2 linked regions of the Diceros bicornis minor genome follow. The protein of the gene in region 2 binds, or shares a complex with, the protein of the main gene of each other region. Links are inferred from orthologs where the notes say so. Each region holds a gene or a part of one and is shown on either strand. Other genes may lie near its edges.

What was found.
Region 1: the proteins of ITGA2B (region 2) and ITGB3 are in contact, whole or in part, in a cryo-EM structure (PDB 8GCE), measured with the Homo sapiens proteins. The link is inferred for Diceros bicornis minor from reciprocal best matches to the Homo sapiens genes ITGA2B and ITGB3. Residues at the interface, in NP_000410.2 of Homo sapiens: Gln49, Phe52, Arg72, Trp141, His143, Asn145, Glu152, Ala153, Glu154, Lys155, Pro157, Arg184, Phe191, Tyr197, Glu199, Phe202, Pro217, Tyr221, Phe222, Phe262, Asp263, Tyr265, Tyr268, Thr290, Trp293, Thr294, Gln315, Met316, Ala317, Tyr319; in NP_000203.2 of Homo sapiens: Ser188, Pro189, Tyr190, Tyr192, Ile193, Ser194, Pro195, Pro196, Tyr204, Asp205, Met206, Arg242, Asp243, Pro245, Lys279, His281, Ile282, Ala283, Leu284, Asp285, Arg287, Leu288, Ala289, Gly290, Val292, Gln293, Pro294, Asn295, Asp314, Tyr315.

Annotation. Positions count from the first base shown.
Region 1 is NC_080757.1:44,910,697-44,921,263, reverse strand, and holds the start of ITGB3 (integrin beta-3), read right to left. Parts: upstream 5,233-10,567; 5' UTR 5,229-5,232; coding exon 5,162-5,228; intron 1-5,161. UniProt on the Homo sapiens protein: Integrin alpha-V/beta-3 (ITGAV:ITGB3) is a receptor for cytotactin, fibronectin, laminin, matrix metalloproteinase-2, osteopontin, osteomodulin, prothrombin, thrombospondin, vitronectin and von Willebrand factor.
Region 2 is NC_080757.1:42,952,086-42,963,454, forward strand, and holds the start of ITGA2B (integrin alpha-IIb), read right to left. Parts: upstream 4,978-11,369; 5' UTR 4,954-4,977; coding exon 4,766-4,953; intron 2,884-4,765; coding exon 2,762-2,883; intron 2,673-2,761; coding exon 2,575-2,672; intron 2,469-2,574; coding exon 2,303-2,468; intron 2,026-2,302; coding exon 1,982-2,025; intron 1,906-1,981; coding exon 1,860-1,905; intron 1,781-1,859; coding exon 1,652-1,780; intron 1,274-1,651; coding exon 1,226-1,273; intron 1,070-1,225; coding exon 1,026-1,069; intron 867-1,025; coding exon 813-866; intron 674-812; coding exon 621-673; intron 424-620; coding exon 212-423; intron 1-211. UniProt on the Homo sapiens protein: Integrin alpha-IIb/beta-3 is a receptor for fibronectin, fibrinogen, plasminogen, prothrombin, thrombospondin and vitronectin. It recognizes the sequence R-G-D in a wide array of ligands.

The sequences.
Region 1 (10,567 bases), about 2.0 Mb from region 2:
ATGTGGGACGCGGCCTCAGCATGGCCGGAGAAGCGGTGCGTCGGTGCGCGCCAGGTATCTGAACCTGAGCCACCAGCAGCGGAGCGCGTGCACTTAACCGCTAAGCCACGAGGCCGGCCCAGGAAGTGGCTTTTTTAAGTTTAAAAATATAACACAAGTTTAGATAAAGGAATACACACACGCATGAGAATTATATATGCAAAAGGAAAAAAAACGAATAGAACACATCATCTGATTAATAGTGGACATTATAGGGGAATAGAATTAGAGGGAAACCAGCCATTTTACTCTCCAAAGTTTGACTTTCTTATAATGAGCATGTATCACCTCATCTTCTCCTTGAATGTTTGAATGTCTTCACTAACTGAACTAAGAAACACTAGGTGGAGGGGAAGTAGTCTTTTTATGGGAACATGACAGAAAAACAAAAAGGAAGACTTACAGTGGGTTGTTTTTTACAGAGATGCTACCAAAAAATTTAAAAGGTAGAATAGCCCAGGTTTATTTAACAGCTTCTGGCTCTAAGGATTGTGACATACCATATTTGGCCACAAAATATCCATTGCTTTTAGGACCAAGAATAATAAAAGTGCTGGTTGCTGCAGAATCCTCTCCAATATCCTGAAGATATTACAACTTAGCACTTGGGAAATCTAATGGTTTTTACATGGCCCAAATGCATCCATCCAATTAGAAAATTTAGAAATTGAAAGTTGGATTCAGGTTTAACGCTTATAGGCCCCTGCTTTCAGGGTGACTGTCTCAGCACCTGAGGAAGATGGAGCGGCCTCAGATAGCCTCCTAGTGTTCTGATACATGCAACAACATGGATGAACCTCTAATGCACTATGCTAAGTGAGAGAAGCCAGAATTGAAAGGCTATATACTGTATGATTTCATTTTTGTGTTACTCTGTAAAAGATAGAACTGTAGGGACAGGAAACAGATCACTGGTTGCCAGGAACTAAAGATGATGATAGGGACGTGATGACAAAGGAGCTTGAGGGAACTTTTGAGGGTGATGGAAATATTCTGCATCTTGAATATTGTGAAGGTTACTTGACTATCTGCATTTGTCAAAATTCAAAGAACTGTACACCTAAAAAGCATGAATTTTATTGTACATAAATTATACCTCATCAAACCTAACTTTAAAAAAAAAAAACGTGTTCCTGGAGATACTGTGTACATGGAGAGAAAGGCAGATTTTATAAATTTTTTACTGGTGAGTTTCACATTTAAATAAACACCAGCAATTTACACAGGGAGAACAGACAATGTCATTTCACTGCTCCTACCTGCATTTCCACTAGTGACCTGAGCTCCATCAGGCACAATGATCTGCCCACTCAGGAAGGGCCGGGGTTCGGAAGAAGGGAAAAGATAATGAAGTGAAGTAGCAGGCCAGCTCTGTGGGCAGCAGAGGGGGCTGGGTCAAGCCAAGTGGTTTATCCCTGAAGCTGCTCAGTCACTCCCCTAGTTAATTATCTGTCTGCTGATTCATGAGTTGTGGTTCCTGTGGGCATGCTTCCTGGCTATTCCTGCCAACAAGGGCAGAAGGATTTCTAGGGCTGGGAGGGGATGATAACCAGAGATCCCCAAGTGGGGTGGGGAGTTGCAGAGGAGGAATTTCTACTAGGAAACTCCAGAGTCATATCCAGACTCCCCCTCCTCACTGCTGCCTCCTTGTCCCATCTTATGCTGCCCCCAGAAGACCTCTTGCCACTCACACTCACAATTTTGAGGTGGGCAGAGAAGAATGCTGTCCTCCTGTGTGTCTCCTCCCAGGAGGGGAAAAAAAGGTAGACAATTCACAGAGGGTCCCCTGAGTTTCCAGCACCCTCAGATCAGAGGTCTAAATGGCACAATAGCACAGAGATCCAAATGCCCAAAGAACCCACGGTCTCAGCTACATTCTAATATCCTCCAGAATGCCCAGAGGGAGCATTTGAGGATCTTCTGTGAATGAATGCTGATATTGAAATGTTGTATTTCTTAAACTGAGGCACATCACCTCTAGATGTCTTTCTATAGCATTCCATAGATATTTATTTTGGCCGCCTATGTGCCAGGACTGGGCATAGAGTGTTGAACAAATAGACATGTCCTTCTCCTCATGGAACCTGAAATCTTGTGAATGTCTTTTACTTTTCTCTTTTCCCAAGACAGGACTTCAGGTTTTCTCATGAATAAAGCAAATAGATGAGCCTCTCTCCTCCTTGGCCTCTTCTGTGGGTTCTTGCTGGGTGAGAGTGGCTGAAATATGCCAAGCCACCAATGCGGAAGGGTTGAAATAAAAAGGGGGCTCCTGTCACATAGGTGTGGGAAAAGGGTCCCCATTGGCCTCATTCTGGGAGCCTGGATTGCACTCATGCATGAAGCAGGGCAGCTCTTGCCTCCAATCCAAGGTAGATACCATGGATAGGAAGAAGAATGACAATAGTAGTTGCCATGTATTGATTATTTATTTTGTGCCTTTATCTCATTTAATTGGCATAAGCATAGAAGTATTATTTTCTCTGCTTTACAAATGAGGAAACTGAGGACTCAAGAGATTGAGTAACTTGCCCAGGGTCACACAGCCAATAAGAGGCAAAATCAAGAATTAAGCCCACATGTGACTGGCTTTAAACCATAGCTGTCCCTTCCCCCAGCCAACAAGCCTTCCTCCCACATCTTTCCAGGCCCTGAGGAGTTCCTGCAGAGGAACCTTTGACTGGAGAGTTTCCAGGATGTAAACACCAGAGGAGAAATCAGCACCTCAGCTCAAAACTCATCATAAGTACTTAGATGGTGATAGCAAACAAAACTTATCCATTAGGTCTCAGGTTAGAATAAAGACCTATACATGGGGAAGCCACAAAACCCAATACTTCTTGGATGAAGGTAAAAAGATCATCTTTGTACTCAAATTCCAAAACTCAATTCTACCCTCAAACAACCTCTCTTCTCCCTATACAAGACTCTCCTACTCTGGGACAGCCTCTCTATGCCACTCCTACCCAGCTCTTTCTGTGTCCCTTAAACATTGTGTGTCCCAACACAGCTCTCCTACTCTCATCCTGCCACCTGCTTCCCCAGGGATCTGGTGACACCTGCAACCCAGCCACCAACACTGGGGTGGGGGATTTAAATATAATCAAAACTGCTTTTACTGGGGGCTTATTACTCTGGCAGTCTCATTCTAGAGCCCGAGACTTAAATACTACTCTATCCTGCCTCTCAGAGGGAGCCTGGGGCTAGCTCAGCACAATCAGTCACCACTGCTGGAATCGCCCAATCACAACAAATCTGTGAAGAGACCTCCTAGAGGATATTTAATGTAAACTTAGGTATGTCAATACAATGGAATCCTATATAGATCATTGCAACTATGTAACCCAGATCAACAAAAGATATACTAGGAGTGAAGGGTGGAGGGAGAGACACTCAAATAACAAATACACTCTATCTTCACTAATATTGAACCAAGCACAATGCTAGGCTCTTTCTTATGTTACCTTACTTACTTCTAAAACTGAAAGAAAATATGATTAGACTCAGAAATCATCCAGAAATTCAGAAAGCTGTGGATGTGAAAAGAAAAGAAAGCAAAAAATGTTTTAAGTTCATAGAAGCAGGCATGTCCGTAGGAGACAGCTGAGCAGCCCTTCCGTAGTTCTCCACTGCCCCCATAAACAGCAGCAGCATGTGAACCAAGGCTCTAACATCTCCCAGGGCAGAAGGCTGGAGATTCACACTTCTGTGCCATGGTCATCAAGCTGCTCTCTGCAGGCTACAGACATCAATTGACATGTTTGGGCTTCTCTCACATGGGAAGTTTCAGCAATAATAGCTTAAAGAGCACCCTATATATCATTTGTAACTCCTCCGTCAAGATAGCGTTCATAGATTGTGGTGATGGTTTCACAGGTGTATATTATCTCCAAACTCATCAAGGTGTATACATTAAATATACACAGCTTTTTGTATGTCACTCATACCTCAATAAAGTGGTTTTTTAAAAAAGAGGTTAGCATAGGGCTGATCTTCCTCACACACACACAAAAAAAGATATTGCTGCCCTGTCCTGTATAATCTCTCTCTATATCTATATCTATCTATATCCACATACACACACAGTCTTGAAGGCAGTCATCAAAGTACTTTGATGTACCGATGATCAGTAAATCTCACTTTTTTTAATACATTCTGCAGGATCTAAATTATCTTACAATGAGTACTACTCCTTTCATTAAAAGTACATATATGCACATTTGTGCTTCCTCTGCAGAGGAATGGCCCCAGCCGACCAGGAGCCAGAGTTCTCCCTGGGAAGGTCACCAGGGCTGCGGAAGGACCAGGGGCAGCATCCCTGGGCTGTGCTCTGCTCTGCCCCTCCATCCTCTCCCCAGCACCAATGAGGCCGAATGCCAACCGCCTTGGCAGCTGATGGTGCGTGCAGCAGCAGGAGAGACAAAGCCAGGGATCCGAGCCAGCTCCAGGGACCCTTGGCGTGGCTCCTCGCACACATGGAGATCTTTTGGACGCAGTGTCTGTTCCGGAAGCAGAGGCACCGCTGCCACCCAGGAACACTGTGGGAGGCAGAGCCCTCAGCTTTCTCCGAATCGCTCCCGCTGGGTGCCACCAAGTATTTACACACACAAAAAAAAAAACTTGAGAAAAAGTGTAACACAAGGAGAAAGAGGGATGTCGAATAACTGGCAAAGCCGCGCGCGCGCTACACTCGCAGCCGAGAAGCTACAACCACATCCCTCCGCCAACGCGCGGGAACAGCCTCGGGAAGCCCCAGCTCGCCTTGCCTATTCCGGCCAGTCATTCCTCGCACGGCCGGGACCACTTGCGACGCGCGCAGCCGGGGCCGAACACGGGGCTCAGAAATGCGCCCACCGCACCGCGCACGGCGAGGCCGCCCGGGGCAGGCGCCTAACCCGGCTAATGGCTTCGGCGTCCCGGAGGACCTGCCCGTAGGTAGCCTCTCACCCTGCCACTGCGGGGTCGGGAAGGTCCCCAGCTCCGGGCTCCGACGACCCAGCCTGGCCCCGCGCAGGAGCCGCCCGCCCGGGTTTCCTCACTCCAAGTCTTCAAACTTGGCTGCGGCAGGACGCGCGGCGTGGATCACCGGAGAGCCGCGTCCCCGAGGCGCGGGAGCCTCACTCACCTCCGACGCCGACGCCCGCCAGCGCCCCCAGCACCAGCACAGCGGCCCAGAGCCGCCGCGCTCGCATCTCGTCCGCCCGCCGCCGTGCTCCGCCTCGGCCGCGCCCTCCCGCCCCACAGCGAGCAGCGGCGCCCGCGGCCACTTTTCCCGCAGCGGGAGGGGAGGGGACGCGGTGGGTGGGACGTAACGGGGCGGGCCGCGGACTCGCGCTTCCTCCCCGCTGGCCCTTTTCTGGACCCTGCCCCCGGGAGGGGGCGGTGGGAAACCGCGGCTCCTCTCTCACCGCTTAGCCTCCGGCGGTGAGGATCTGCCTCGTTGCGCATGAGAGGCGAGGCTGGGTCTGGAGGAGGGTCTCGGGCGCATTCTCCCAGGGTTGTGCTGGTCCCAGGGCTCCGCGCCCAGGCACTTGGTATGCTTAGAAAGGCCGGGAGCCTGTGGCCCCTCCTGACCTAGTCCCACCTCTCCGGGGACATCCACAGGGCTTTCTCTTTCGCGTGGATTCCTCAGGCACTTTCCCTCTGTGCCTTGAATTTCATTCATTCATACTTTCATTTGTTTAATTGACAAACCTGTTGAATGCCTACGCTGTGCTGGACACCAGTTTAGTCTCTTATTATTAACTAATTTTTCTCTTGGGTTAGTGTGGTTTTCCGGTAGACTGTAAGCCTTTTGAGGACAAGACTACATCTCAACCTTGTGTAAGCAGTGATGTTCATATAGGGCCTCTCTCTACAAATACTTGCTTGCACATATTAAGTATCTGAAAAAAGTTTCAGGACACAGTCAATATACTGCCTCCAAACTCACTTGATAAAGCTTTAGAGCTTATCGTATTTTCCTCAAAGGCCTCTTGCCTCCTCCCTGCCTCCCCCACAATCCTTCTTCTGGGTCCCTGAGTCTTCCCCAGTCTAGAAACCTCAGGATGCTCAAAGGGCTAAATGCTAGGGCTTTGAGCAGGAGGCCACCAGTGGCTGGGCTGGTGCAGGCTGCTGCAACGGGTAGCTCTAATGATGATAACAAGGCTTGAGGAGTCAGAGAGGATCTGGAGTTCTCACTAGCCCCTGGGCTCCCCTAAGGGCTTTCAGGCTGCCCCTGGGCTCCTCTAAGCCCTCTCCTGAGACACACAAGATGCCTGAAAACTGGCCCTGACTGACTCAGCTCAGCAGCCTCATCTCCCACCCTAGACCAGGAAGATACTTAGCATTCCCAAACACTTCATGCCTTTCCAGCTGAGTGATCTTCCTTCCTTTTCCCACCTGGAAAATTCCACTTATCTTTCAAAACATCTCAGATGTCATCACTTCCATGTAATCTTGTCTGATATCTCTCCTCCTCCAGCACCACCCTCTGCAGAGGTGAGCACTCCCTCCTCAGACCTCCCAAACACTAGGACACACCAAAATAGTAGCACACATCCTCAGAAGCGTCACTGGCAATTTGCAAGGGGCAGGGGAGGGGCCAGGGTAGCTGGGCTTCCTGATCTGGGCTTTGAGACTCCAGCACCATAGACCTCCCCTAGCTGGTGGAGGGCCTCTAGGCCAGAAGCCACTTCAACAGCGTTGTCGTTGCCCTGGTACAAAATCCAGGTCACACAGCCTGGTTGCATCTCTGCCTAGATAGATATTTACTTATTTGCTCAATTCTCATATATATAACCAACCTCCCAGTCACCTCAGTGTCTCCTCAGCCTAGCTCTGCTGGCACCAACCATTTGGGGTGGCCACTGGCCCAGCAAACATGCTGTCTGAGTCCCCAGTCTCTTCAACCCGAAGAACTTCCTTTAGCAAATATTGTGATGAAGGTCCACTGGCAACAAATATGCTCTCCTTTCATCTGTTTCACCCTCATTTTTAATGATATTTCTTAGATATGGATTCCTAGGTTGACAGGTGATTTTTTTTCTTGCAGTACTTTAAACATATTGTTCCATGGTTTCTGATAAATCAGCTATCGTTTACATTCTTGTCCTGTCTTTTCCCTCTGGCTTTTTTTTTTTTTTTTAATTTTTAATTTTGGAATCATTTACACTTACAGAAAAGTTGCAAAATGCTAGAGAAAGTTCCCTTTTATCCTTCACCCGGTTTCCCCTAATGTTAACATCTTGTATTACCATAACGTAATTATTGAACACAGGAAATTAACATTGATACAATGCTATTAACTAATCTAGATACAACATTTGAATTTTGCCAATCTTCCCACCAATGGGAAAATGTCTTTTTTCCAGTCTAGAATCCAATCCAGGATCCCATATTGTATTGTCATCATGTCTCCTTAGTCTCCTTCAATCTATGACATTTTCTCAGTCTTTCATCACCTTGACACTTTTGAAGAGTCTAGGCCAGTTATTTCGTAGTATGCCCCTAAGTTCGGGTTTGTCTGATGTTTTCTCATGATTGTATTGGGGCATTCTGGATGAGAATACTGCAAAAATGATGTGCCTTGTCAGTACATCATATCAGGGGGACAGGATGACAATATATCTTACTACTTATAAGGTTGACTTTGATCACATCGTTAAGGTGGTGTCTGCCAGTTTTCTTCACTATAAAAGTTACTATTTTTATTTTTGTAGTTGATAAATATTTTATGGGAAGATACTTTAATTCTTTGCAAATATCCTGTTTCTCTTCATACTTTTACCCACTAATCTTAGCATCCATCAATGGTTCTTGACTGCAATCAATTACTGTGGCGTTTGATTGATAGTAATTTTCTATTTCCTTTTTTCCTTCTACAGCTATTAATTGATATTCCAAATAAGAAATAGCTGCCCCTTCTCTCCCGTTTTTAAAATTCAATTATTTATATCAGTATGAATTCACGGATATTTATTTTATTCTGAGTTATAAGTCAATGCTATCATTATTTATTTTGTTGTTCAAATTGTCCCAGGTTTGTCTCTGGCTACTTTTAAGTTTTCTCTTTGTCTTTGGTTTTTCAGCAGCTTCTCTGTAAGGTGAATAAGCATTGTTTTCTTTGTATTTATCCTACTTGGGGTTGATGAGACTTTTAAATATATAAGCGGTTTATTTTTAACCAAATATAGGAACTTTTAGGGCAGGCCCCGTGGCTTAGCGGTTAAGTACACGTGCTCCGCTGCTGGTGGCCCGGGTTCAGATCCCGGGCGCGCACCGATGCACCACTTCTCCAGCCATGCTGAGGCCGCGTCCCACATACAGCACCTAGAAGGATGTGCAGCTATGACATACAACTATCTACTGGGGCTTCGGGGAGAAAAAGGGAAAAAAAGGAGGAGGATTGGCAATAGATGTTAGCTCAGAGCTGGTCTTCCTCAGCAAAAAGAGGAGGATTGGCATGGATGTTGCTGATCTTCCTTGGAAAAAAAAATATATATATATATATTGGAACTTTTTAGCTGTTATTTCAGTTATTTCATCAAATTTTTTCCTGCCTATTTTCTCTCTCCTTACCTTCTGAAACTCCAATTACAAATATTTTAGATATTATCTAAAAATTTATAATTATAAATTATATATATATATAAATTATACTTAAAATACATAAGTGATATATTTATAAATTATAAATTACATATAAGTAAGTGCATATATATATGCACGCCATCTTAGGCTCTGCACTGCAATTCAGAAAGTCCCCCCAGAAAGCCCAAGCTGGGCAGATGTAGGGTTCACCTATCACGTGTTTCCCTTCCCTCAAGGATTATAATTCTGCTTTGCCTATGTTCAATGTCTAAAGCAGTTCCTCAAATATTTTGCCTGAATTTATTGTTGTTTACTATGGGAGAGCCAGTCCTGTACCAGTCACTTTGTCATAGTCAGAAGCAGAAGTTCTGTGACTATTTACCTCCATCTCTTCCACCATTACTGGACAGTGAGATCCCTGAGTGCAGGACTGTAGTTGACTATCTTCATATTTCCTAGTATGCACTTAGTAAGTAAAAAAATCTTTTCCTATTTTTTGACTTCTTAGCAGCCCTCGATAGTTAATTTTAATAAAATATTAGCTGAGCAAAGACGTTGGGGGACCTGAGTGTCCATTCTGTGATTTGGCCAAGTGCCGTACTACCCAGTCAATATCACCACGGAGCGGTATCCAATGCAGACAGGTAGAAGAGTTTCCCCAAGATCCATTTAAGAGGCAAGAGTCACATTATCTGGCCCCTTGCCCGACTGTGGCCAGGCTAACACCAATATAGGGATCTTTTTCTTGTGCTCTCATCAACAGTCTGCCCCCTTGGGGAAGCCCCACTCCTATTAAGTTCCTCACTGTCACCACTGTAAGTTGGAGAAAACAGGTTTGTGGCCATTTCTGGACGTCTTGCCTTTAAGGTCATGCTGAATTCCCCATTGTACTGAGTCAGAAGGTCTCCGGAGTCAGGTCCTTGCCCCACCTCTTACTAGTTAGATGATCTTGAAATAGTCTCCAAATCTTCTCTATACTCATTTTCCTTATTTGTAAGAAATAACTATCTGTTCCCTGCCCTTTTCCCCATCCCCAATCCCATTCTACCCCCTCCCAAAATACACACATTGTTATGAGGTTCTATGAGGCCATGGATATGAAAGCCCTTTGGAATCTGAAAAGCACAGAAGAATATGTTCTTATTATTGTTATTATTTGTGGAGAGATTGTAGACCTCTCAACACAAATGCTTTCCTCTAGTTAAGGAGATTAAGTGTGGAGTAGCACACTGGTTCAGAATCTTCTCCTCCTACACATTTGGCAGGATGACCCAGCTGTTCCTTTGGCTTGAAGAAAAATGGGCTTTTCAGAGTCCACACTGACTAAAAATGACATAGCTTGGAATTTCTGGGCTCTGGGAGCTATCTGAGAAAGTACCCCTAATTTGTTTTTCTTTTCTTTTTTTTTTTTTTGCTGAGGAAGATTCACCCTGATCTAACATCTGTTGCCATTCTTCCTCTGTTTTGTGTGTCACAGCACGGGTGACAAGTGGTGTGAGTCTGTGCCCGGGATCCAAACCCATGAACCCAGGCTGCTGAAGCAGAGCATGTCAAACTTAACCACTATGCCACGGGGCCTGCCCCAGTACCCCCAGATTTTTATCAAGGTAGTACTGGAGGGATGAGCTCAGCCTTGGCATTAAACATTCATTCACAAGCACATATCAGTCACCTGCTGTGTGCCAAGTGCTTCTCAGGACACTGAGGATGCAGTAGTGAAGAACACCAGGCCCTTCCCTCTCAGAGCTCGAGCCCAGTTGGATCTGAGACAATCAACTTCTGTCTTGGAGTGCTACTCCTCCCTCATCCTCACGAGAGCCAGACCTTCTTCTGCGGAGAAGAAAAAATGAGAGCCCAAGGTCTTTCCATGCCAGCTCAGCATACAGGGTACCACGTGGCCAAGCCTGGATTCAAGCTCTTTGCCCACAAAGGGCATCACATGACTGTTCACACTCCATCT
Region 2 (11,369 bases):
ACCACCATCTCTAACTCCACTGCCAAAATCCACATCCAGGTGGTCACCATCTCTTGTCTGCACTAACGCAAACAAATCCTAATTGGTCTCCCTTAACTCTCTCCTGCTTAAAGCCCTTGCTGGCTGCTCCTGCTGCCCTCAGGTCAAATCCACAGTCTTTACTGTGGCTGATAACCCCTTTGCGGCAAGTGAGGCTCCTGTCTTCCCTTACCGTTGTAGCCATCCCGGTTGAGGTCGCCCAGAGGCGCAATGGCAAAGCCAAATCGCCCGTAGATCTGTGTGCCGGTTAGCAGGAGGCTAGGGGCACCCAGCACTTGGGGGCCTCGAGGCTGCAGGAACAAGTAAACACGCCCCACCTCGGCCAGCTTGCGGTCGGCACGCCTTTCCATGTACAGTGGTGCGCCCACCAGCAGGTCGTGCCTCCTGCAGGCCAGACAGGCGGTTAAGTGGGGTGGGTTAGGGGATGCTGTGGGCCAGGGCCAAATCTTAACTGCCCATCCTCACTCTCTCATTCCCCTTGGTGGTCACGTGGGAGTGAGGGCTAGGACAGCAAACCCAGGGCAGTCAACCTCTGGTAATTGGGGACCCAACTGGGTAGGGCTGGGGCGCCCCCTCCTCACCCGTCCCCGTTGACGTCAGTGACTGCCACCGAGTGCCCAAAATAGGAAGCCATCTGCAGGAAGACGAGGCGCACCATAATTCCCACCCCAGGACATGGCACCCTCTCTTAGACATTGCCCCCCACACTTCGTGGAATGTTCTAGGGTCCCAATCCCCAGCCTTGGCCACTCCCACAGGGACCCGGCCCCCACCTGCTCTCCATGTAGCCGGTGCAGCATCCGGAAGGACGAGTCCAAAATTTCCACCTGTGGGGACAACGCACAGGCGCGTGTCATACGTGCCCCCACGACAGCCTCCCGCTCCAGGTGAGAAAGGGCAGGAAGTTTGGGGTGGGGGGTGGTGTTAGCCTGAGGAGTGGAGCCAGGGACTTTGGGATGCCAAGTGGCAGGGCAGGGGGCACTCACCGCTCCCAGGGTCCAGCTCCAGGTGGGGGCACCGAAGACATACTCTGGGGAGAGCCGGGCCCAGTGAATGAGGTCCTTTGAACCTACCCGCCTTCCGCCCGCCATTCCGCACCCAGGGTTGATTTCGGTGCGGGGCTTGGAGGTGCCCCTCCCCAGGCTGGGCTCCCCAACCCTGGCCCTTGACTAAGTGCATTCCTTGCCTGTAGTGCTGAGATTTCCATCGAACTCGCCCACGGCCACCGAGTACCCTGAAGACAGAGCGAGAATTAGTCTTTCCGGGAGGGCGAAGCAGGGAGGGGGTTGAGGAAGGCAACGAAGAAAGAGGAGACTCCGAGACCATCCAGTCTAAACTCCACATTGTAGAAAGGAAAACTGAGGCCCCCGACAGGCCAAGACCTGCCCTAGGCCGCGCAGCGAATCCAGAGCGGGAAGGGCGAGGTGAAGGGCGAGGTGTGGCGTAGGGCACTTGGGCGGTAAGTGGGGGAAGCTGTGGGAGCAGAGGGAGAGGCGCTGGGGCTAGCCAGCAGGGGTTGGCATGGGGGCGCTCCCGCAGGGGCAGGACCTGACTAGCGGGGGAGGGCGGTGACAGAGTGCTGGGAAGACTAGAAGGGAGGTGCCCGGGCTACCTCGGTAGCCGTCAAAGTACTCTTGTCCGCCGAAGTCGAGTGTGAAGCTCTGGTTGGGCACGTGCCACAAGAGGGTGCCCGGGCGGTAACTCGAGACGATATCGGCAATTGGAACCCGCGCCAGGAGACCTAGGGAGCGAGGGACAGCGGTGTGGGGGCCTGGAGACCCCAGGCAGAGAGAAGGGAAGGTGTACGGATGGGCACGTACCTAAGAAAAAATAGCCGCCAGGAGCCCCAAGCACCAGCTCCCCAGCCTGAAAGGGAAGTCCTGGAGGTGAGAGGGGTCCTTATTTGGCAGCCGCCCCCACGCCGCGTATGCTCTCTACTCGCCTGAGTGACCACCGAGCTGAAGCCGGCTTCGCAGTAGCGCCTGTCTGCGGGACGAGGCAGGGAGGAGGGGTCAGCGAAGGGGCGGATCAAGAAGCGTGCCCTGGAGCCTGGGGCGGGGGCGGAGCCGTCTAGGGGTGGGGGCCGCGGTAACATAGAGGCGAGGACTTGAATGGGCGCGGGGCGGGGTGGGGCGTGGCCAGGAGCTGGGCCATTGGGCGACACCGGATGGAAAGCAGGACCTTGGGGCGCTGGGAAGATCAGATTAAGGGCGGGGCTAAGTGGCCGCGAGTGGGCGGAGCCACAACAGAGAGCGACGCTCACCCATGTATCCTCTACTGTAACGGCTGCTCATGGTGTTGGCTCGACAGGGCGAGTACTCCGCACGGCGGCCATTCTCGAGCTGAGCCACGAAGCAGCCACCTACCGGCGTCTTCTCAGCCTCCTCGGTCTTTTCTAGGGCGTTCCAGTGCTGCCAGGGGGCGCAGGCCTGGGGCAGGGCCACAGGAGAGTGAGGAAGGGGCGAGTCTCGGGTTTCCCCCACTCCACGTGTCCCTGCCCCGTCTGCTGCCTGTGCCCGGTCCCGCGGCGCCCACCACAACGTAGTCGCTCCAGCTGACGACCGACGCCCCCAGTCCTTGCCGAGCCTTGAAGGTTTGAAAAGTTTGGAAGCTTACTTTTCGGGTCTCATCATCTGGAAGGCACAAGAAAGGGTGGGGCGCTGAAGCTCGGCTGTCCACCCTCCCTCTAGCCCCTCGCTTTCCCTCCTTGCGCGAGACTCACTGAGGTCGAAGGGCAGCGAGGTGCACTGGCCGCCCTTGGCCTTCCAGGGGCACAGGAAAACGCCGCCCGTCTCCTCTTGGCTGCGGCCCAGGGTCCGCGGGGCGCCCACCACGATGGACACGCTGCGTAAGAAAGCTGGATGAGCGCCGCGTGGATTTTGGATACCCCATGCCCGGTGCCTGCGCTGGGAGCACTACCGGAAGGGCAGTGTGCCTTGGGGAGCATTGGATCATCTTTCCTCAGTGAGACTTCACAGACCATCTAGGCCAGCTTTTTCATTTTATGGCCAATGAAACTGACTCCCAGTGAGAGGAAATCACATTCCCAAAGTAACCCAGCGAATCAAGGGTCAAGGTGGGACTATAACCATTTGGTTTGATTTGAACACCAGAGGTTTGTTATCCTTGCTGAAAAAGACCTCCTAAGCCATACACCATCTACACTCCCCACCCTCCACCAAAAGCCAGCAGTTTACTAACTTCTTTCTGGAGACTGTTAGACTGTTACCAGATTCCTTCCTGAGAGCTAGTTGTTTTTTTTGTTTTTTGGGTTTTTTTGTGAGGAAGATCAGCCCTGAGCTAACATCCATGCCAATCCTCCTCTTTTTGCTGAGGAAGACTGGCTCTGAGCTAACATCTATTGCAGTCCTCCGCCTTTTTTTCCCCAAAGCCCCAGTAGATAGTTGTATGTCATAGTTGCACATCCTTCTAGTTGCTGTATGTGGAACGCGGCCTCAGCATGGCCGGAGAAGCGGTGCGTCAGTGTGTGCCTGGGATCCGAACACCGGCTGCCAGTAGCGGAGCGTGCGCACTTAACCGCTAAGCCACCGGCTGGCGCCTTGAGAGCTAGTTTTAATGGTAAAGAATTAGGGAAGCCAGTGGGCACCTCTAAAGTGGTGGGTGGGATGCTGATATTGCTGAGGACTCTAGTAGATCTAGGTTCAAATCACAGCTCTGCTATATATAAAATGGGGACCGTAGCAACCAATCAATGCCATCACAAGTAAATGAAATAAATGTATGACGGACGGTCAGCATGGTGCCAGCCAAATAACACAATAACAAGTGCTCAAAAAAATGCTATATATATATTTTTTTTTTAGCGTGCAGGATGTAATTAAGTAGTGTCCATGAACCAATATCTGTGGAAAGGTGGGGAAAGAAGCAGGAGTCGGCAGAGGAAGGAGTTGAGTTGAGATTCAGGCCCAATGACAATCATAGGCCCACACCCTGAGAGCTCTGGAGCTAGAAGGACCCTTCAGAACTGCCCCAAGTTAAGGTGAGAGGGTCAGACCCTTACAGCCCTCTTCTGCCTCCACACTTCTCATTGATCAGTCATTGATTGTAGGCCACATTAGGAAGGGGACTTGACTTTGGGGTAGCTGGGTCTCTTCAGCAGAGGAAATTCCCCTAGGGGCTGATACTTGAAGTCTATCTGCCATTGCCACTCCCTGAAGCTGGGCATCACAATGTCCACCACAATAATTAATAGCTCAGGGTAGTTACTATAAAGAGGAGGGGCCAGGACTCTAATCTTGTCAGTCCGATTTTGCAGCCTGATCAATCCCAACCACTAATGGTCTATTGCTGCTTTTCAAATACCTATAATTTTGATGGGGATGAGGGAGTGGAGTAGAGAAGCAAGGTTGCGGTGGGTAGACAATTTTATAGTTTTGCAAGTCAATTTAAAACATGTGCTCCTTTCTGTATTTCAAGGGGATGAGAATTGATACATACAACTGACACTTGGGGAAAAAAAATAAGGCATCAACTTTTGTCTTCCCTTGTTCTTGTTGTAGTTTCAGTGCCCATGTCTCCACTGGTGACCCTCCCTGACACCCTCACCTGAGGCGGTCCCTCCTCAGTATTCCTAACAAGAACTCATAGACCCTAGAAGTCATTTTGCTCAACTTCTATCATAAGTGGGGAACTCAAGGCCCACAGAAGCAGTGATGGTGTGGGAGTCCTTCTCTCTCCCCACACCCAAACCTCCCCCAAGGCTCACCTCCCACGGCTGTCCTTGTAGAAGTCCAGTGAAAACCCAAAGTGGCTGCCATTGGGGCCTGTGTAGAAGGTGACCTGCAGTGGGTCCAGGTTCAAGGCCCAGGCTGGAGGGGCTGTACCGGGTCCCAAGAGCAGCTGCATCCACTCCAGAAGCCAGAGGACATGAAGTGGACACAAAGCTCTGGCCATCTTCCTTCTCCCACAACCTCCTAGGCAGGAATGGGCTAGCTCCTTCCTCTTCCTTTCAGTTTTCACCACAGGAAGTCTTCTCTTATCAAACTGGAACCCACTTGCTGAGCAGCAGGCAGAGCATAAGGGCTACCGGCCCTGGACCCATTTGGTTTCTAGGATTGCCAGGAAGGGAGTGAGGCCATACTGGGGGTGGATGCTTATGGCTGAAAGCCATGACTCCTCCCTTTTCCTGAGAGAACTTTATCACCAAGTCCTGTTGGTTCTGCCTCTCAACTGCATCTCTTGAATCTTCACCCCATTTCTGCTACTACCGTGCTAGTCTAAAGGCACCATTGCTTTCTGCTTGGGATAGTGCAACCATGAACTAACTGGTGCATACAGCTCCGCTCTAGCCCACAGTTCTACAGCTCGTCCTGCTCCAGCCCCTCCCAGCTGCCTGCACTGCTGTGGCACGTTTTGACTTGGTCAGAGGTGGGGGAAGGAGTAAGGAAGCTGCTGCCCCCTGATAAGACCCGAGGCTGCTGTATCCTTTTGGATAAGGTACTTATCCACTTCCTCCTTCTAGGGCCTAGGGCAGCTTCAGTCAGCCATATTGGTGCAACAGCTTCCTCAGTCTTCCATGTTGGGACAAGTCTTAATGTGGCCACAGCAGTGCAGCCAGTGCTGGGAAAGGGGTGGTGAATGGATCTTGGCCCGAGAGGAAAGGAGATGGAGATAAAGTGGAGTTATTCCAGGGTATTCTGGCTTACAGGCTCTGAGATTATGCACCAGCTGTTCAGTTTCTCAAGGCAGGCCCTCACTTTTTCTTGGGTGACAGAGCTCTTGTCTAACCATCAAGACAATTCTAGTGGAGTCATTGCCTAGGGGAAGCCTCTCTCGACTGCTCAGGCTGGCACCCTGGGGTTAACACACATGGGCACAACACCAATCACACGGTTTAGTCATGGTCTGTTCACTGGATTGTGTCCATGAGTGCCTTGAAAGCACGGTTCTTTTCTGCAGCCCCAAGGTCTAGCCAAGAGCCCAACATATAGTAGGTATTGCTGAGAGACAGACCGAATGGAAACATGCACTGAGGATGGAAGATGCAAACAAGGAGTCACATAGTGGAAAGAGGAGTAGTTGTGAGCAGAAAGGCAAGGTCATTTTCTATGGATGAGAGGAAGAGGAGTGACAAATCTCAACAGTGCTGCATGTCTTCCCAAAAAAGCAGGTGCTCAGGAAGGAAATTCAAGAGATCTGCTAGAGGTAAAGGAATATAGCCACATCCTCCTTTTGATCTATATATTTTTTTAATTTTTAATTTTTTTCATTTATTTTTTTATTTTTTTGTGAGGAAGATCAGCCCTGAGCTAACATCCGATGCCAATCCTCCTCTTTTTGCTGAGGAATTTTGACCCTGGGCTAACATCCGTGACCATCTTCCTCTACTTTATATGGGACGCTGCCACAGCATGGCTTGACAAGCAGTGTGTCTGTGTGCACCCGGGATCCCAACCTGCGAACCCCGGGTCGCTGCAGCGGAGTGTGCGGACTTAACCACTTGCGCCACAGGGCCGGCCCCTGATCTATATTTTCTGATCATGTTTAACCATCGTCTTATCCTGCCCAGCTGCCCTGTGCCATTCTGGAATCCCTTCAGCTCCTTCCTTTCTCTCATAATTCACCACCTCAGCGCACAGCTCAAAATCCTATCTCTTACTAGGTTACAAGCTCCTTGAATTTCAGTCTGGGCCTTCTTCACTGCTGAATTCCTAGTGCCAAGCTCATGGTAGGCATGTAAGACATTTGTTGGAATGAATACTTAACTCAACCTTTCACCCTGCTAGTGTCCTGTCCTCAACTGAGTGGTATTGTATTACTGGTATATACTGTGTAGCCCAATGTTAACTCACATTTCACTAAAGTTTTTAATACGTATTTATTCTGTTCAAGGCCCTGAGTGAAAAGGGATACAAAGATAGTTGTCAAAGATCCTTAGAGAACTTAGTCCAGAGGGAGTTAAGACATGCACACACAGAACTGTGGCAGAGGGATAGGAAAGCATACCTTGAAAAGGGCAATTACACCTAGCTGAAATCATTTATATCATTTGCTCCTTATTACAACCCAATGAAATTGGTGCTATTATGCTTATTTTATAAACACAAAAACTGTGGCACAGAGAATTTTAGGTCAATTGCCCAAGTTTACACAGCCAATGGGTGGCAAAACTTAGGATTCAAGCACATTTGTGCTTGAATTCACATTCTTAACCATTACACTATGTTGCTTTTTGTCAGAGAATGAAGTGGTTTTTAGGCACAGGAAATAACAAGCAAAGAGAGTGGCAGAAGAACATAGAGGCCAATTATACAGAAGGGCAAGTAGTTGACTCAGCATAGGGTGTTTAAAGGGGTGCACTGGGGCATGAGGGTAGAATGGAAGACTGGGGTCAAATCATTGGAGGTCCCTGAATGTCATATTAAGCAATTTGAACTTTAATCTGTAGGAGATGGGAGAATCATAAAGATTTTTGTCAGGGAATAAGAGATACATTGATCAATTGTGCTCCAATTTGGATGATTACACTGGCTGCCTGTGGATGGAAGGAACTGGAAGAGGCAAGACTTAGTGGGAAGATGGATAGCAACTGTAGTTCTCTTGGCTAAAGGTGATGAGGCCTGAACCATGGTACTGACAGCAGGAACAAAAGAGAGCAGAGATTCACAGGCAGTAACTGGATGTGGTAGTGAGGTGTCAATAGTAATTCAAAACTTTGTTGCATGGCTGGCTGGTAGGACTGTGGTACCATTAACCAAAATTGGAAACAGGTGGAGGATCAGATTTGGGAAGCGAGAGGGGTTTGGTATTCAATAAGGATTCTGTTCCTCATGTGTGTCCCTTCAGGGTCAGAGCTGGGTTGACCTCCCTTCTGAGATAGCAGGCAGAGGAGTGCTGACACATTGCTCCCACTTTCCCATCCTATCGGCCTGAGTCCTAGAATCCCTCAACGAACTCAAAGTTCTGTTAAGGCTTCAATAAGTCAGCAATTATTGAATTTCTATGTGCCTGGCACTGAGCTAGGTAATGTAGAGGATATATAGAAAAAATCGTCTATCATCTTTGATGTTTCCTTGCTAAATCCTGATGCATAATCCTCAGCTAATGGTATTTTACTTTGCTCATCTTTCTTGAACATATAATGAAAATGTTTACTATGTGTTCAGCACTATGTAGAACACTCTAAGGGGTTAAGAAAAAAGCAAGTATAAGAATCAGTCCCTGTCCTCTCAGAGCTTATAATTTTACTGGGAAGCAGTGAATACAAAATGAACTGCACTCAGATTTTGAAAAGCCAGTGAGTTTACATGGGACAGGGAATTAGATTCTAGAGTCAGGGAGGCCAGCCAGGAAAATTCTGCAATAATTCAGACATGAGTTGATAAGGGAGAAGTGAAGGTATCTCTGCCAAATAAGAATGGCAATGGTTAACAAGGCCTGAATTAGTTATTGAGGGTGTAGAAGAGGGAGTACTTCCACGTGTCAAGCTCGAGTGGCTGAAACAGGCAGAACCCTTAGTGGAATCAGGCCGCTGCACATACCTTCACATAGCATACTCTCTACAGGCCAGTCTGCCTGCCAGGTCACTGACACCCTGCCTGCGCAGGAAATCACTCTTCATTTCCTGACATCCTTTCTTTCTGGGCAGGGATTTTCCTATTTTAGGAAAATAGGCAGATCTGAGCATCCAACCCAAGGTTCAAGTTGAATAGTTTCTCTTTAGTCAAAGGGAGAACAGCTGTATGAGAGAGTAGGAAAGAAATAGACATCTACTATTCCTTCCTGAAAGGCCAAGGAAGAGAAATTAATTTATCACTACAAATCTATGGTTAGCTTTTGATGCTAAACTTTCTGCCTTTTGTGATTTTGTGATACAGAAGATAGCTTTTATCTGCTCAGTAACCATTAGGGCTTATTTCCTTTTACCAGGTAGCTCTCAAGCACTGTAGCGGTATTAAAGGGTTGAGGAGAATGCAAGACTGGTTCTGGTACAGAACTCCATCTGGAAGGCAAAAGGCCAGGCGGATGACTCTTATAATCCCATTGCCCTGAAGTTCATCCAAAATCCTAAAAAATCAAAGCCAGAAATTCCAAACCCATTTAGTAAGCACCTACATACCATACATTCTACTATATACAGAATATCTTCTAAAATGAGGAAAAAGGTAGATACAGAAGAAAATCCTTATGGGAGAGTGGAGAGGAGGTGCACATTCCTCCAAGACATCTACCTATGACTGAGAGAAACTTAACTACTATTACTTCCTCCCACAGCCATAATCTTTCCCCTCTACTTGGGCAGCCTGAGCTTTGAGAAGCACAATTCCAAATATAAACAACTGGTTCATAAGAATCTATTCCTTGATCACTTCAAAGATGATGTTATTTGTAACCCGTAACTCCACTCCTTCCCCACTTCTGTGGATGGGGCAACAATCACGACAGACTCTGCTAAGTTTCCACAAATCATTGGTTTATTAGAAAGTTCCTTTCCCTAATTTTACAGCATATATATCTCTATCATATGTGATAAATACAATCTGTTATGCTTGTAAGTAAGGATAGGTTTATTTTGTTGTTCCTTTTTTTTAAGTTTTAAAATCACTATCCTGGAAGTTAAAGAAAACTGCCCCCAGGAAGGCAGAGGCAGCCAGAGTATGGCTCAATCTACAAGCTAATGGGAAGCAGCACAAAAGTGTTAATACTGTATCATTTAAATATTTACATGGGCTGAAGGCAAAGAAAAATGAGTTCCTTCACTTCAAACAGACGATTTCATTTTTCCAGTGCTAGTTATCAAAAATGTGATGCTTCTGAACCAGACGAGGAGCACTGAACAGGTAGGACGCTCAGTCAAGAGCCCTGTTTGCCCAGCACTTGCTTCTCATAAACTCAAAACCTTTTCTTTTGGGAATTTGAGAAGAAAGGCAGACACAGAGCCTTGGCCCAGGTAAGCAGGGTTTGTTTTTCCTGTCAGGTGACCACCTAACCAATTCTAGCCACAGGAATAGGTAGGGAAATGCTGAACAGGGAACTGCTAACTACACCACAGATGAGACCTGCAATATCAAGACCTTTGGGTCAGTGTGTTAATTAGGTCTGAGCCTGGGTGAAAGGCAAGAGGAGCAAGAGGAATTGAGGTGGTACTTCCTCTGGTAGGTGTCATGAGAGAAATGAAAAAAGGAATCTTTACTGTGTAAACTATAACGGGCCAGAAGGCATGGAAACTATGAAGCAAAAAAAATTTGCAGGATCTATAAATGTGCTCACCTCCCAACAAGAGGAGGAAGAAAACTGTCCCAACACTATCATCCCCCAGGTCTATTTCTCCTTCAATTTCTAGCCAACCCAAAAGGCATATTAAAAAAAAAATTGTCAGAGGGGGCCTAAGTACTAGGAAGGCAAATGGATCGCCGGGAACAAGGCACCCAGGAAACCCAGGAATCCCCCAGACAATCACTATAAACCTCACTGCTTCCAGAGAATAAAGCTCTTGAATCTTTCCCTCCTCCTCTGTGGGGCCCATCTGTTTCTCTGTATAAAACAGCCAAGCATGAGGGAGACTGTCATAACTGAGTATCCCTCTGATGCCCTCAGCAGACTGCTGCCCATTAGTTAAAAAATCCCACTGCTGGGGACGCCACTTACTGTAAATTACCAACCATTTTGTCCCAGCAAAAAATGTTAAACAATGTTCCTTTTATCATTTTTATAGTTCATAACTTCAAAAAATACATGAGCTTGATAAAATATACATGCTTAGTCATTTTTGCATCTAGCAGAAAACAAATACTTTATTTTTGTTTTCATTTTATAACTTTTAAAGTTTCTTAATTCAACTAGGGCAAACATATTTACACAAAGCCACCAGAACAAGGATCACTTAAAGAGCTGGATGTAAAAAATATTATTGCAGTATACTACAAATATGGGACCTTTTTTATATGAGCTACAAAAAGCAGCATTTACGTTTGTAGAGTTCAGTGCAATTTTTTACATTAAAAAAAAATCCTATAAATTAAGAAGGAAACATCAACATGACAGAAGAAAATACACCCTTCAGACACATGAGCTCCTCTCTGGGGAAGCATATGGGTGACTCTATGTTCCGCATAGCTTCTATTCATGATAGGATCTTCTTTTCTGGGATATGCAGATGTCTCTTCTGGGATGAGGGACACGAGGACAACAGTGCCAAATGTGTGGCTCCCTGTTTGTGTGGGAAGTGGATCGAATACAGCCTGAGTAGCATCTGGTTCCAGGTCAGACTCCCTTTCCACCTCACCCAGGATAACATAAAGTCACCAACGATGGTCAAAGATACTGAGAAGGCAGGACCAGATGGACAACCCGCCGGCCAGAGGAGGATA